2 linked regions of the Stegostoma tigrinum genome follow. The protein of the gene in region 1 purifies or fractionates together with the protein of each later gene. This does not show direct contact. Links are inferred from orthologs where the notes say so. Each region holds a gene or a part of one and is shown on either strand. Other genes may lie near its edges.

Evidence for each region.
Region 2: the proteins of nepro (region 1) and rpp25l purify together in Homo sapiens (affinity purification with mass spectrometry; 3 studies listed by BioGRID and IntAct, with this or other methods). This does not show direct contact. The link is inferred for Stegostoma tigrinum from reciprocal best matches to the Homo sapiens genes RMP64 and RPP25L.

The regions. Positions count from the first base shown.
Region 1 is NC_081359.1:2,544,224-2,552,154, reverse strand, and holds the start of nepro (nucleolus and neural progenitor protein), read left to right. Parts: upstream 1-4,860; 5' UTR 4,861-5,001; coding exon 5,002-5,098; intron 5,099-5,115; exon of another isoform or gene 5,116-5,348; intron 5,349-7,931. UniProt on the Homo sapiens protein: May play a role in cortex development as part of the Notch signaling pathway. Downstream of Notch may repress the expression of proneural genes and inhibit neuronal differentiation thereby maintaining neural progenitors.
Region 2 is NC_081354.1:146,847,258-146,855,152, reverse strand, and holds the start of rpp25l (ribonuclease P protein subunit p25-like protein), read left to right. Parts: upstream 1-4,892; 5' UTR 4,893-5,047; intron 5,048-7,652; 5' UTR 7,653-7,695; coding exon 7,696-7,895. Other genes in the region: dctn3 (dynactin subunit 3), read right to left, coding at 4,781-4,864. UniProt on the Homo sapiens protein: May be a component of ribonuclease P or MRP.

The DNA.
Region 1 (7,931 bases):
GATCTTCATGTACTATGCACAATTTTGCTCTTTTGAAACCATTTAATTCATTAAGTCTTGTTTTTATAGACGTTTAGGTACCGCATACCTTAAGGTATGTGGGCTATACATGTTTAAATCCATGTTCCACTTCACTTTCACATATCTCAAAGTGCTGATGCCAACAGAGATTGGTGTTATGGATGTAGATTTACCCAGAAATCGGATTAGAAAGTAATCTTTCCAGACCATGAGTCCTCAGAATTCCAAAAATACAAAGTACATTGAATAAGAAATATAAGGATAGGCAGCTAGGGCTGAGCTACCAGGTTAAGTTCCAGGAAAAGTCATTCAGACTCAATGTTAACTGTTTCTCTCTCCAGGAATACTGCCAGACCAATTTTTCCAGCATTTTCTGTGTTTGTTTCTGCTTGCTAGCATTTGCAGTGCATTGTTTTTATTGCCAAGTTAAGGTGCTGCATTTTGGATGAGCTGTGTGTTAACCAGTTTCTGTGATAGTAGTTTGTTAGTTTATTTGGCCACTTTCAGCATTGTTGAACCCTTCCCCCAAGGCCTTCTTTTAATTGCATCTGAATGCTACCCATCTTTTTTCTAGGGACCAGAAGATTCAAGAGTCGTAGATGAAGTCTTTTTTCTAATATCCAGAAAAGCTCCCACACATAACTGGGATAACACGGTGTTCAGAAAATTTTCTGAAGAGTCGTGACCCGAAATGTCAAGCTTTCCTGCTCCTCTGATGCTGCTTGGACTGCTGTGTTCATCCAGCTTCAGTGTTATCTCAGATTCTCCAGCACCAGCAGTTCCTACTATCTCACGCACAACTGATTTTTTTTTCTTATCATCAAGTCACCCATGATATTTTTTCATTTATTAACTGCCACCAGTAAATCACTCATGTTTTCCAATTGAATAATTCATGTGCACAGCCCAGTTAAAGGCATTATAGCTCATTAAAGGTGAGGGATAATAGTTGATAACAAGGTGTGAAGATAATAAAATGTGAAGCTGGATGAACACAGCAGGCCGAGCAGGAAAGCTGATGTTTCAGGCCTAGATTCTTTTTTATATCCAAAGGGCTGTTATACATAATTAAGTGATGTTTTTCCACATTACTTTTTGTTTACATCTATGAACCAAGAGTGAATTACCTGTGTCTTACAATTGACTAATTTACATGCAAAGCTCTTATGGACAGTACAACCTATTAAAGGTTAGGGGGCCAGATTGAGTGTTTCATTTATCCAGATCAGCTCTGATACAGAGATAACAAGGTGTAGAGCTGGATGAACACAGAGGGCCAAGCAGCATTAGAGGAGCAGGGATACAGGCCCGACCAGTCCCCCTCCACCGACACTCTCATCCGCCTAGCTGAACTCGTCCTCACACTCAACAACTTCTCTTTTGACTCCTCCCACTTCCTACAGACTAAGGGGGTGGCCATGGGCACCCGCATGGGCCCCCACTATGCCTGCCTCTTTGTAGGTTACGTGGAACAGTCCCTCTTCCGCACCTACACAGGCCCCAAACCCCACCTCTTCCTCCGGTACATTGATGACTGTATCGGCGCCGCCTCTTGCTCCCCAGAGGAGCTCGAACAGTTCATCCACTTCACCAACACCTTACACCCCAACCTTCAGTTCACCTGGGCCATCTCCAGCACATCCCTCACCTTCCTGGACCTCTCAGTCTCCTTCTCAGGCAACCAGCTTGTAACTGATGTCCATTTCAAGCCCACCGACTCCCACAGCTACCTAGAATACACCTCCTCCCACCCACCCTCCTGCAAAAATTCCATCCCCTATTCCCAATTCCTCCGCCGCATCTGCTCCCACGATAAGACATTCCACTCCCGCACGTCCCAGATGTCCACGTTCTTTAAGGACCGCAACTTTCCCCCCACAGTGATCGAGAATGCCCTTGACCACGTCTCCCGTATTTCCCGCAACACATCCCTCACACCCCGCCCCCGCCACAACCGCCCTAAGAGGATCCCCCTCGTTCTCACACACCACCCTACCAACCTCCGGATACAACGCATCATCGTCCGACACTTCCGCCATCTACAATCCGACCCCACCACCCAAGACATTTTTCCATCCCCACCCCTGTCTGCTTTCCGGAGAGACCACTCTCTCCGTGACTCCCTTGTTCACTCCACACTGCCCTCCAACCCCACCACACCCGGCACCTTCCCCTGCAACCGCAGGAAATGCTACACTTGCCCCCACACCTCCTCCCTCACCCCTACCCCAGGCCCCAAGATGACATTCCACATTAAGCAGAGGTTCACCTGCACATCTGCCAATGTGGTATACTGCATCCACTGTACCCGGTGCGGCTTCCTCTACATTGGGGAAACCAAGCGGAGGCTTGGGGACCGCTTTGCAGAACACCTCCGCTCAGTTCGCAACAAACAACTGCACCTCCCAGTCGCTAACCATTTCCACTCCCCCTCCCATTCTCTAGATGACATGTCCATCATGGGCCTCCTGCACTGCCACAATGATGCCACCCGAAGGTTGCAGGAACAGCAACTCATATTCCGCCTGGGAATCCTGCAGCCATATGGTATCAATGTGGACTTCACCAGTTTCAAAATCTCCCCTTCCCCTACTGCATCCCTAAACCAGCCCAGTTCGTCCCCTCCCCCCACTGCACCACACAACCAGCCCAGCTCTTCCCCTCCACCCACTGCATCCCAAAACCAGTCCAACCTGTCTCTGCCTCCCTAACCGGTTCTTCCTCTCACCCATCCCTTCCTCCCACCCCAAGTCGCACCCCCATCTACCTACTAACCTCATCCCACCTCCTTGACCTGTCCATCTTCCCTGGACTGACCTAACCCCTCCCTACCTCCCCACCTATACTCTCCTCTCCATCTTCGGTCCGCCTCCCCCTCTCCCCCTATTTATTCCAGTTCCGTCTCCCCATCCCCCTCTCTGATGAAGGGTCTAGGCCCGAAACGTCAGCTTTTGTGCTCCTGAGATGCTGCTTGGCCTGCTGTGTTCATCCAGCCTCACATTTTATTATCTTGGAATTCTCCAGCATCTGCAGTTCCCATTATCTCTGATACAACTGAACATTTTTTTCCATATCACCCTTTGTTTTGCATCTATTAACCACTCAGAGTGAATCACCCATGTTTTACAATTGACTAATTTACATACAAAGCCCATTTTGAGCAATGCAAAACACCAAAGGTGAGGATAAGGTGCCACATGAGTTTTTTTTCCCCATCACCAAATCAAACGCCCACCCCCCACCAATCCCATTATTACCCACCCCGCCAAATCGCCATGTTTTATAACACTAGGTGCACAGGGCGTTAGAGGGCAATGCAATGCAATGTGAGGTCAGTAATAATGGGAACTGCAGATGCTGGAGAATCCAAGATAATAAAATGTGAGGCTGGATGAACACAGGAGCACAAAAGCTGATGTTTCGGGCCTAGACCCTTCATCAGAGAGGGGGATGGAGTGAGGGTTCTGGAATAAATAGGGAGAGAGGGGGAGGCGGACCGAAGATGGAGTGAAAAGAAGATAGGTGGAGAGGAGAGTATAGGTGGGGGGGGGGGGGGGGGGGGGGGGATAGGTCAGTCCAGGGAAGACTGACAGGTCAAGGAGGTGCGGCTTGGGGTGGGAGGAAGGGATGGGTGAGAGGAAGAACAGGTTAGGTAGGCAGAAACAGATTGGACTGGTTTTGGGATGCAGTGGGTGGAGGGGACGAACTGGGCTGGTTTTGGGATGCGGTGGGGGAAGGGGAGATTTTGAAGCTGGTGGAGTCCACATTGATACCATTGGGCCGCAGGGTTCCCAAGTGGAATATGCGTTGCTGTTCCTGCAACCTTCGGGTGGCATCACTGTGGCACTGCAGGAGGCCCATGATGGACATGTCATCTAAAGAATGGGAGGGGGAGTAGAAATGGTTTGCGACTGGGAGGCGCAGTTGTTTATTGCGAACTGAGCGGAGGTGTTCTGCAAAGCGGTCGCCAAGCCTCCGCTTGGTTTCCCCAATGTAGAGGAGGCCACACTGGGTACAGTGGATGCAGTATACCACATTGGCAGATGTGCAGGTGAACCTCTGCTTAATATGGAAAGTCATCTTGGGGCCTGGGATAGGGGTGAGGGAGGAGGTGTGGGGGCAAGTGTAGCATTTCCTGCGGTTGCAGGGGAAGGTGCTGGGTGTGGTGGGGTTGGAGGGCAGTGTGGAGCGAACAAGGGAGTCACGGAGAGAGTGGTCTCTCCGGAAAGCAGACAAGGGTGGCGATGGAAAAATGTCTTGGGTGGTGGGGTCGGATTGTAGATGGCGGAAGTGTCGGACGATGATGCGTTGTATCCGGAGATTGGTGGGGTGGTACGTGAGGACGAGGGGGATCCTCGTAGGGCGGGTGTGGGGTGTGAGGGATGTGTTGCGGGAAATGCGGGAGACGTGGTCGAGGGCGTTCTCGATCACTGTGGAGGGAAAGTTGCGGTCCTTAAAGAACTTGGACATCTGGGACGTGTGGGAGTGGAATGCCTCATCGTGGGAGCAGAAGCGGCGGAGGCGGAGGAATTGGGAATAGGGGATGGAATTTTTGCAGGAGGGTGGGTGGGAGGAGGTGTATTCTAGGTAGCTGTGGGAGTCGGTGGGCTTGAAATGGACATCAGTTACAAGCTGGTTGCCTGAGATGGAGACTGAGAGGTCCAGGAAGGTGAGGGATGTGCTGGAGATGGGCCAGGTGAACTGAAGGTTGGGGTGGAAGGTGTTGGTGAAGTGGATGAACTGTTCGAGCTCCTCTGGGGAGCAAGAGGCGGCGCCGATACAGTCATCAATGTACCGGAGGAAGAGGTGGGGTTTGGGGCCTGTGTAGATGCGGAAGAGGGACTGTTCCATGTGAGGTCAGATTGGGTTGTGGTGCCGTACCTGTTCTTGATGCAGTGTTGAGAGTTGGGCCTGCGATCCCGCCCTCTGGGAGGCTGTCCGCTCGCTGCTGGAGGAGGAGGAACCTTGCTGTTCTGGAAGATGGCGGCGCCTGACGGTTGGAACGCCGTGCACATTCCACGGCCGGGCTCGTGCTGTAGCGTGGCCGCGCCGCCTGCGTGCCGTTGGCCACACACAGGTACCGCAGCGGCACGAGCTTCCCGCTCACACTGCTAACGGTCACATACACTGTGTCTGTCTTTCTCGCTCACTCATACTGCTAGGCCCAAGTATTTCACATTAACTCGGAAAGCTATGATCGGTTTACTGCAATGAGGAAAGTTGGAACCGTCTTAGTTCCCCGCGTGTGCCAGCTACGTTACTCAAAAAGCAGAAAGTGCTGCAAAAGCTCGGTAGAGAGAGGAAAACCGTTAACGTTTAGAGTCCAGGTGTTTCTTCGAAACCCCGAAGTTTGACTCTCGCTCGTTTTATTAATTCATTTTCTTTCAGTATGTAATATATTCTGCTGTCACCGTTTCTTTCCCAGCCTCCCTCAATGGCTCCAGTTTTGGTTTAATCATTGTGTTTTACATACACGTGCGCAGCTTTATGGAAAAGAACGCTGGAAATGTTCGGCAAATCTGCGATCGCTTATGGAGAGAGAAATAGTTATTAAATGATGTTTGATGGTGACAACATTGTCTTCTGCCCTGCATAGTGAGCTAGAAGAATTTTTGTGGGGTGTGGGAATTTGCTGGCACTGTTGTAGCATGCGTTCAGTTCTGGTCTCCCTGCTGTACGAAGGATGTTGTGAAACTATCAGGGTTGGAGGGTTTGAGCTACTGGGAGAAGTGGGCTGGGGGCTGTTTACCCTGGATCATTGGAGGCTGAAGGAGTGACCTTACAGAGGTTTATAAAACCATGAGGGGCACGGATAGGGTAAATAGACAGGTCTTTTCCCCAGGGTAGGGGAGACCAAAACTAGGGGGCACCGACTTGAGATGACAGGGAAGAGACTTAAAAGGGACCTAAGGGGTAACTTTTTCACGCAGAGGGTGGTGTGTGTGGAATGAGCTGCCAGAGGAAGTGTTGGAGGCTGGTACAATTAATATTTAAAAGGCATCTGAATGGGTATATGAATTGGAAGGGTTTAGAGGGATATGGGCAAAATCCTGACAAACGGTACTGGATTATTTTAGGATTTTTTTTGGCGCGGGTGAGTTGGATTGAAGGGTCTGTTTCCATGCTGTACAGCTGTATGAGTCTTATGTTTAACATAGATGCCATTACAATTCACTACAAATAACTGGATAACTTATTTAAATTTCCCCACAATTCAAACTGAAATTGGCATCTAATTTTTAACCTCCCTGTAGGTTTTATGAAGTTACTGGATTTCATGTTGATTCCTATTTCAACTTGCTGTTACAAATTAGGACTGATAATCAAGTACCTTTTTTGTGACCTGCACAAGGACGTAATGTCTCTGGTCTAGGAAGGGAGCATTTGAAATTGGAATTACTTTCATACAGATTGTAAACTGCTTTAGACATTTTTAAAATTTGAAGTTTTGTTTATTTCTTCCTCATCTCTCTAGTAAACAACTTTCATTTCAACTATGCGTGATAATGGGAACTGCAGATGCTGGAGAATCCAAGATAAAATGTGAGGCTGGATGAACACAGCAGGCCCAGCAGCATCTCAGGAGCACAAAAGCTGACGTTTTGGGCCTAGACCCTTCATCAGAGGGTGAAGGGTCTAGGCCCAAAACGTCAGCTTTTGTGCTCCTGAGATGCTGCTGGGCTTGCTGTGTTCATCCAGCCTCACATTTTATTATCTTTCATTTCAACTAATTTCCCTTTACCGAATTTTATTCTAAGGTATGGTGGTAGTTGGTCAGGCAACATCTGTAAGTTTTCTATAGATGCTATCTGGTCTGAGTATTTGCAGGATTTCTTGTTTTTAATTTGATGTCAGCATGTGTATTTTATATTACTGTTTTTCCTACTGTCATTTGTGTTTGTCTCAGATATGTTGGCTGAATTGCTACCACAGTCCTCTCTGAGGAATGCCTGTGGTTCAAGATTTTGAACACAAACAAGGCCTGTGCTTCAAATGAAATACTGAATATGTTGGCTTAAACATGATGACGTTATGGATGTGAGTTTGCTCGCTGAGCTGGAAGGTTAGTTTTCAGACGTTTCGTCACCATTCTAGGTAACATCATCAGTGAGCCTCCGACGAAGCGCTGGTGTTATGTCCCGCTTTCTATTTATCTGGTTAGGTTTCCTTAACCAGATAAATAGAAAGCGGGACATAACACCAGCGCTTAGTCGGAGGCTCACTGATGATGTTACCTAGATTAGTGACGAAACGTCTGAAAACGAACCTTCCAGCTCAGCGAGCAAACTCACATCCAGAACCTCAACCTGAGCTACAAATCTTCTCCAAATGATGACATTATTTTCAGAGGAAGTCTGGAAAGCATCATATGTCCTGGGCAATATTTATCTTTCAGTTCAAGAATGACAACTTATATTTTTATAGCACCTTTTAACATGGTACAAGACCCCAAGGTGCTAAGCAAATAACAATAAGATACAATTTAACATGGTATCCAAAAAGAAATATTAGATCAGATCACCAAAAAATGATTTTAATGAGCACACAGAGGCAGAAACATGACCATAAGTGGTGAAGGAATTAAAATCTTTGTGCGTGTTAAGTCAGGGTTGGAGAAATGTAGGGTTGTTAGTGTGTTGTGATGCTGGAACAGATTAGAGGTAAAGAGGGCCAAGGCCATGGAGGAGACATTTGAATTCCAGGTATTTCTGGACTAGGATCCAGATGGCAGATCTAGATGGTATGAAGTTAAATACAGTGGATGCCCACAGACAATTGAAGATTCAAGCGCATAGGCCTTTAAAACACCACAAACAGTTATAATAAATAATAAGAAAGCTAATGGAACACTGGCCTTTATATCTAGAGGACTGGAATATAAGGATGCCAAAGTTATACTGCAGCTACAC
Region 2 (7,895 bases), on another chromosome or scaffold:
TGCTATTGAAGGTAGTATATTAGTATGGATGGTGGACTGGCTAATGAATAGACAAGAAGGTCAGTTGGAATAATTGGGCATTTTCAGGTGCTACTGGTATCAGTGCTAGTACCACAATTATTAAGAATACATATTAATGACTTAGATGATGAAAGTGAATGTACTGTAGGTAAGTTTGCAGATGACAGAAAAACAGGTGGGAATGCAAGTGATTAGTTTGACAAAGAGTCTGCAGAGGGTTGTTGGGCAGTTAAATAAGTAGGCAAAAACTTGGCAGATGGAACTTATTGTGGGGAAAATGACATGTTATGCACCTTAGTTGAACAGTAAAGCTCAATGTTATTTAAACAGGAAGACTGCAGAAAGCTACAGAATGATTTGTGTGTGCTCATTCATGAATCATAAAAAGCGAGCATCAGAGTTTAGCAGGTAACAGGGATGGCAAATGGAATGGTGGCCTTTATTCAAAGTGAATAGAGTTTAAAGTAGGAAAATTATGCTTAAACTATACAAAGTACTAGTTAGATGAAATCTGGGATACTGTGAACAGTTTTGGGGCCCTAATCAAAAGGAAGATATCCTGACATTGGAGTTAGTCCACAGCATGTTGTTGCGCAGAGGTACCTGGGAACCCTTGTGCATGAATCACACAAGGTTAGCTTGTAGGTGCAACAGGTAATTAAGAAGACAAATGGAATTTTGTCCTTTGATGCTAGAGGGATTGAGTTTAAAAACAGGGAGATTATGTCACAGCTGGATGGGGTGCTGGTAGGGCCATAACTGGAGTACTGCATGCAGTTTTGGTCTCCTTACTTGAGAAAGGATGTAGTGGTATTGGAGGAGGTACAGAGGAGATTCACTAGGTTGATTCTGGATTTCAGAGCTTTGGTTTATGAGCACAGCTCAAGTGGACTGGGATTGTATTCATCGGAATTTAGAAGAATGAAGAGGGATCTTACAGAAATACATAATTTTATGAGATGAATAGCTAAGACAGAGCAGGGAGAATGTTTCCATTGGCAGGTGAAACTAGAACAAAAGGGCATAGCCTCAAAATTAGGGGGAGCAGACTTTGAATTGAATTGAGGAGGAACTTCTTTACTCAAAGGATTGTGAATCTGTGGAATTCCTAGCCCAGTGATGTAGTTGAGGCTTCCTCATTGAATCTTTTTCAAGCTAAGATGATAATTTTTTGAACAGTAAGGGCAATGGTCAGAGGGGATGAACTGCTCCTCCTTCTGGTCCTTATGTGAAATTCAAATTGTCACATAGTAAAGGCACCAATTAACCCGAGTAGGTGATTCACAGATGGCATTTTTTTTTTCTTAAGTGCTTTTACTTTTCTCATCTGGAGTGAACTACTTGAGGACGAATATTGTAGTCCATGATAGTAGTCCATTCCCAAGCGCTGAAAATATCAACATAAATACATCTTGTAAACTTGCAATACCTAATGTTGGCCACTAGAGCCTGCAAATAATCCAAAACAAGAGAAGCAAAGTCTTTTCAGAATTATCAAATGTAAGACAAGTCAGTAAACAAGCAGGCAACTGGAATTTGGCTTTCAAAAATCAGTCTGTATAAATGTTACTCAGTAATTTTTATGTATCCATTGACTGTTTAAAACAAATAAACCTTTCACTTCAGTCTGTTTTTAAAACTGACAATATTTTAAATTTATTGAAAATTTTTGAATGAACCAAAAGTTCTGTCCCCTCTAAGTGCAACTGGGCATTCTGAAGGTTGCGTTTCCACCAGGTGTTGAGTCATACTGGAGAGAGAACCAATGATGTATTTCCTCAAACTCAGCAGATCCCAAGGTCCAAATTAAGATGATGGTGACATAGTGGTCACAATAGACAATAGATAATAGGTGCTGGAGTAGGCCATTCGGCCCTTCGAGCCAGCATCACTATTCATTATGATCATGGCTGATCATCCACAATCAGTATCCTGTTCCTGCCTTATCCCCATAACCCTTGATTCCACTATCTTTAAGAGCTCTGTCTATCTCTTTCTTGAAAGCATCCAGAGAGTTGGCCTCCACTGCCTTCTGGGGCAGAGCATTCCATATATCCACCACTCTCTGGGTGAACAAGTTTTTCATCAATAGACAATAGTGGACTGATAATCCACAACTTCAGAAAGGACTTGAGAAAGGATGTAGTGGTATTGGAGGAGGTTCAGAGGAGATTCACTAGGTTGATTCTGGATTTCAGAGCTTTGGTTTATGAGCACAGCCCAAGTGGACTGGGATTGTATTCATCGGAATTTAGAAGAATGAAGAGTGTTCTCAACACAAATCTAGTGTTCTGAGTACGAGTTTGAATCCCACAATGGCAGATGGTAGATTTTGAGTTTAATTTTTAAAACCAAATTAAAAGTCTCAAGATGACCATAAAATAATTTGTCTTAAAAACACATCTCATTGTCTTTTAGGATGTAAACTGCTGTCCTTTCCTGGCCTATGTGACTCCAGGCTCACAGCAATGCAGTTGACTTGTAATTGCTATGCCTATCCAGGCAATTAGGGAAGGACAATATGTGTCGACATCCCTTGAGCATATGAATAAAAATAAAGCAATAACGTCTGATTAGGTTACTGAACCACACAGCTACTGGCATAAGGTACAGCAAATTCAAAAATCAATGTCACGACTCAAAGAGTGGTGTTAGGAAGGGTGTTGATTCTTGACAGCAATATAGAGGGAGCTGTAGATGGGCTTCACGTGAATTAGGATGGGATCTCTGACCTGATAAACTAAGAGGAGGGCAGGAGAAGTAACATTAAACTGCTCATTATCTGAATGCATTAAATAAGGAACAAACCAGAGAGATAAATGACAATTGAAATTGCAGGGATATATCTACAAAGTGATCAAGGATGGGAAATAAATTTTAATATACTGAAAGAACGAGAGAAGAATAGTATTGAGAAAGGATCATGGCCCAGAAGATCAGGAAGCCAAAACACTATGAGTTGAAGATCAGGAATAATCAGGGAAACATTGGTGGGAGAATTTACAGGATCCTGATGACAGCTATACTATGTCACAGTAGGCTGCAAGGATCAGTTTAGGACCACAGGTATTTACGATGTATTTTAATGACTTAGATAAAGCAACTAAGAGAAACAAATCTAAACTAGTAGATGACACAAAGATGGTTGGGAATGTCAGCTGTAAAGTGAGGAGGACACAATGAGGCTGCAAGAAATTATGGACAGTTTAAGTGAGTGGGCAACAATGGGGCAAGTGGAGTGACATGCTGGGAAATGCAAGGTTAGTATTCAGTTTGGCATTAAGAACAAAAAAAATTTAAAAGGTGTGAAACTTATAAATGTAGATGTTCAGAAAGACTTGCTAAATGCACAAATATTCATGTGGAGTAAACAAATAAGAAGACAAGAATAGCCTGTACTTTAATACGATCAGAGTGCAGAAATACGGTCTGTTCAAAGTTTTTGAGAAGATTTGTAGCTCAGGTTGCTGGCTTGCTTGCTGAGCTGGTATGTTTGTTCACAAACATTTAATCACCATTCTAGGTAACATCTAGTGTCACCTCTGGATTGGTTTCTTATTGTTTGGTATATGGGGTCCAGCTCTACATGTTCGTTAATGGAGTTCCGGTTTGCAGGCCCGGCTTCCAGGAATTCTCGTGCGTGTCTTTGCTTGGTACTATCATTCATTTCAATACACAGACAAAGAGGGACACCAATTCAACAGGGACAACGTAGCCATCATAGGACTAGCCAAACAAAGATACACATAAGAACTCCTGGAAGTGTGGCACTCAAACCAGAACTTTGTTAACAAACATGTGGAGCTGGACCCCATACACCACCCACTAATAAACAAATCTAGAAGTGATGCCACCTACTCCAGCTAACCGAGACACATAAGTATCAAGCAGGACAGAACACCAACGCTTCACTGGTGAAACATTCATGATGTTACCTAGTATGGTGAGAAAATGCTTGCAAACAAACTTGCCAGCGCAGTAAGCAACGAACAACAGGATCTGTTCACTGACAACAAAGATTCCCCAACATGCATGTGGCACTGTGATATTACTGCCAAGTACAAAAAAAGTTCTACTTTTGGAGTATGTGACTTGATATGTTCTCATTAAAACTCTCATTATTTTGTATTTTTAACTATTCTTTTATCTATGACAGATATTATTGCTAATGCACATGATCCTTGGCAGCAGAAAACATAGCTGCAGAAATAAAGAAGCCTTGCTTAAACAGTGGGACGACATCTTTAAGACTGTGTGTATAGCTTTAGACTGAACAGTTAAGGACAGAATTTCATTGGAAACAGCATACTTGGTTCAACAGATCCATTCCTGTGATAAAAAGCTAAGTACACTGGATCACTCTTCTTTGTAAAAACAGACAAATGAGAGATGATTCGATGTAACATACAAGATTCTGAAGAGACCTGAAAGGGTGGATCGGGAACGTAATTCAAACCCTACCACTCTGGTCTCCATTCCCATCACCAAGTCCCAGCCCCTCTCTCTCCGGTCCGATATCCCTTCTCCATCATCTCTTCCCCCAATTCCATCCACTCCCTCCACCCTTCACCCACCTGCCCAGTCGTATTTTTCCGCTCGCTGTCACCAACACCACTCCCTCCCCAAAGAACACCTATCCGACCTGTCTCTATCTGCCCTGCCCATTCCACTCCGCTCCAGCCGGGCAGCACCTGTCCCGGCCTCTCTCCCACTGGCAGTACCTGATTTGTTTTATTACTATCACATGTAGGTACAGTACCTGTCCGGCCTGCCGCCCTCTCTCTCCGTACAGCCGAGTCTCGAGTTTCTCCAAACGGTCCTGCAGCCTCTTCAGCTCCGCCATTGTCAGCGCCACTTCCGCCCAACGGCGGAAATTACGTCAGAGGGCCCGGGCCCAGGACCAGGTGCGAGGCCTGGGCTTGGGATCCCGGTGCGGATAGGACTCGGGTTGGGAAGTTGCGGGGTAACTACCAGGAGCTGCTGAATAGACGGTGCCGTGGTAACGAAACTGAAAAAAACTCGGCAGGTCAGCCTTTTCGGAAAGAGAAACAGAATTACTGTTTGTTGAGAAGCGGGATGGGTTAGAAATATCAGAGCTTTGGGAGCAGCGACAGAAAAAGAGAGTAGCAAATAACGTCAAATAGCGAAGTCTGAATGATTAAGGGGAAGAAATGATGTGGTAGTGGCGGTGCCGGTGTTGGATAAGGTCAGAAGTCACACGACACCAGACAATAGTACTCCTGAGATGCTGCTTGGCCTGCTGTGTTCATCCAGCCTCACATTTTATTATCTTGGATTCTCCAGCATCTGCAGTTCCCATTATCACCAGACTATAGTCCAATAGGTTTATTTGAGAACACAAGCTTTTGAAGCCTTGCTCCTCCTTCAGGTATTAAGGTAGAGAGGAGCAGCCTTCCAACTGTATCAATTTCAGATCATAACCTTTGATCCCATTTCAAGAGCAGAGGAACAGGGCTAGGCTATTCGGCCCAGAGATCCTGCCCTCCCATGCCAGATGGGCAGACTTTTAAAGCCCCTCATTCTCAAATTTTCCTCCTTTAGATTCCCCACCTAAGGGAAATGTTTCACTTTCATTTATCTTAACTATTGCTTTAAATATTTTGTAGGTTTCAATGAAATTTGTATTCATTCTTCAATACTGTAGAAAGTACAGGTCCACTTTGCTCAATCTCTGTTCATAGGCCAGTTCTGCCATCCTGAGAAAATTCTGGTGACTTTTCATTACAGTCTCTCTGTAGCAATAATATCTTTTCTGTGATAGAGGCCAAAACTGCACCCACTACTCCAGGTGTGATCTGGACAGTTGAAGTGAGACTTTGTGACTTATGCACACAGATTTACATCTGATCCATACAACTCTATTTTGCCTTGCACCTTCATTGATCCTCTAATCTCTCTTTCATCCATAGTCTCACATGTGCACATTTTTTCTCGCAACCTTTGACTTCTCTAAACTTGCTTGAAAATTGTGACATCTCTAACTTTTGACAGTTTTGATAAGAGGCCATTTATCTGAAAGCATTGTCTCTGGAGAAACAGGGTTACTGTCTGACCTGCTGAATATACCTAATGTTTTAAATTCTTATTTTAAATTGCAGGTAGCCATTGTATGTGCCTTTTATTTAAGTGCCAATCTTGACTAAAGCTCAGAGTCTGAATGATGGTGAATAGCAGTCCTGCAGGACTGAATTCAACAAAATATCTAGGGTGATACTCTTGAAAAGTACTGAGGGAGTCACAGAACATAGAACATAGAAAAGTACAGCACAGTTCAGGCCCTTGAGCCCACGATGTTGTGCCGTGGAATAATCCTAATCCAAAAATAAAATAACCTAACCTAAATTCCCCTCAATTCACTGCTGTCCATGTGCATGTCCAGCAGTCGCTTAAATGTCACTAATGAGTCCGCTTCCACGACTACCACTGGTAAACTATTCCATGCGCTCACAACTCTAGTCAGTAATGTTATCTTTCAAATAAGGATGTTAAATTAAGGCTCTGACTGCTCTGATCACGGTAAAAGACCACATGCCACTGTAGCAGAGAAGGTTAGTTATTCCTAGCTAGAATGAAAATAATTGAATAATTTCTTTGTTAGCCGTGCTTGGAGAATGAAATTGCGAGCGCATGGGATTTAATCATTTACTCGTGTTTGGATATAATTATTCTCCATTCACTCTGTTTTGTTGATTAAATTACTTGCATAAAGTGCAGTTTCTTGATGGTATTTGGTTTTTGCAGAAAATGTTTCCATCTTGACTCCTGTGGATTATTTGCTATTATATGCTATCAAGTTGCACTTCCAGCTGATTACTTGACAGTGCATTGGCTATTAGTTATCTGAATATGGATCATAAACATCATGTGAAATTAGATATTTTGAGAAAAGCTCTGTACTTTTCTGGAGTTTAGAGACATCTGAGAATGGTGTGACATCGTGCCTCTAAAGCAGTAGATTAGGGAACAATTCATGCTTAGCTTCTATCAAATAGAATCTAAAATTCAGAGATTCTGGGGCATATACGAAAATGACTGGCTCCAAAGATGTTAGAAAATAGAAATGTTTCAAATGAAATTCACATGTTTAAAATGAAGATTGGGTGAGAAGGATGTGATGTGAGCAATTAAAAATATGCACAAAGCACTTGCTGCTAATGTAGTACCACAAATGGAATTTCACTCTGAAATGTTTTTTAATGTAAAGAATACATGCACCACTCAATTGCGATTGAACAATAGCTTGTGAAGAATCAATTCAATCTGCTGTCGTGTTCTGCTGGTTTACCTCAGTTGCTGCCATAGCAAGGTACTTTTGTTGTCTTCAATCTTCAAAGTAGCAGAAATCACACTTGGTATTCTCCTAAATTCAGCACTCATGGGCATATTTGGATGTCAAATGCTTCCATTGTCAAGTAACTTATTATCATGTGTAATGTCATCTAAAAGAACAATTCGGGTTGTTATACTTGGATGAGTCAGCATTTTCAGGAAGGTAAACGTATAGTGCATTTTTAAGTTTGCAATAAATTAGAATGGCAGACAAAGTAGACATTCTAGATTCTTAGTTTTCCAGCTGTAAGTAATTGATATTTATATATTTATATTTACAGGTTCTGATTTCCATCACTTCAGAATTATAAGACATTTCTCAAAATGGAAAATTACCAAAAAACAAAGATCACAGAACTCCCTTGTCCACAGCCAATTGCCAATCTTCCAAAAGATATTATTGAAATGAAGGTGAAGGAAGGTAGCAAAATCCGAAATCTCATGGGATACGCCATTGGAAAGATGGAATCAGCCAATATCAGAGAGATCCTTTTTACCGGCACTGGGAAAGCTGTCAGCAAAGC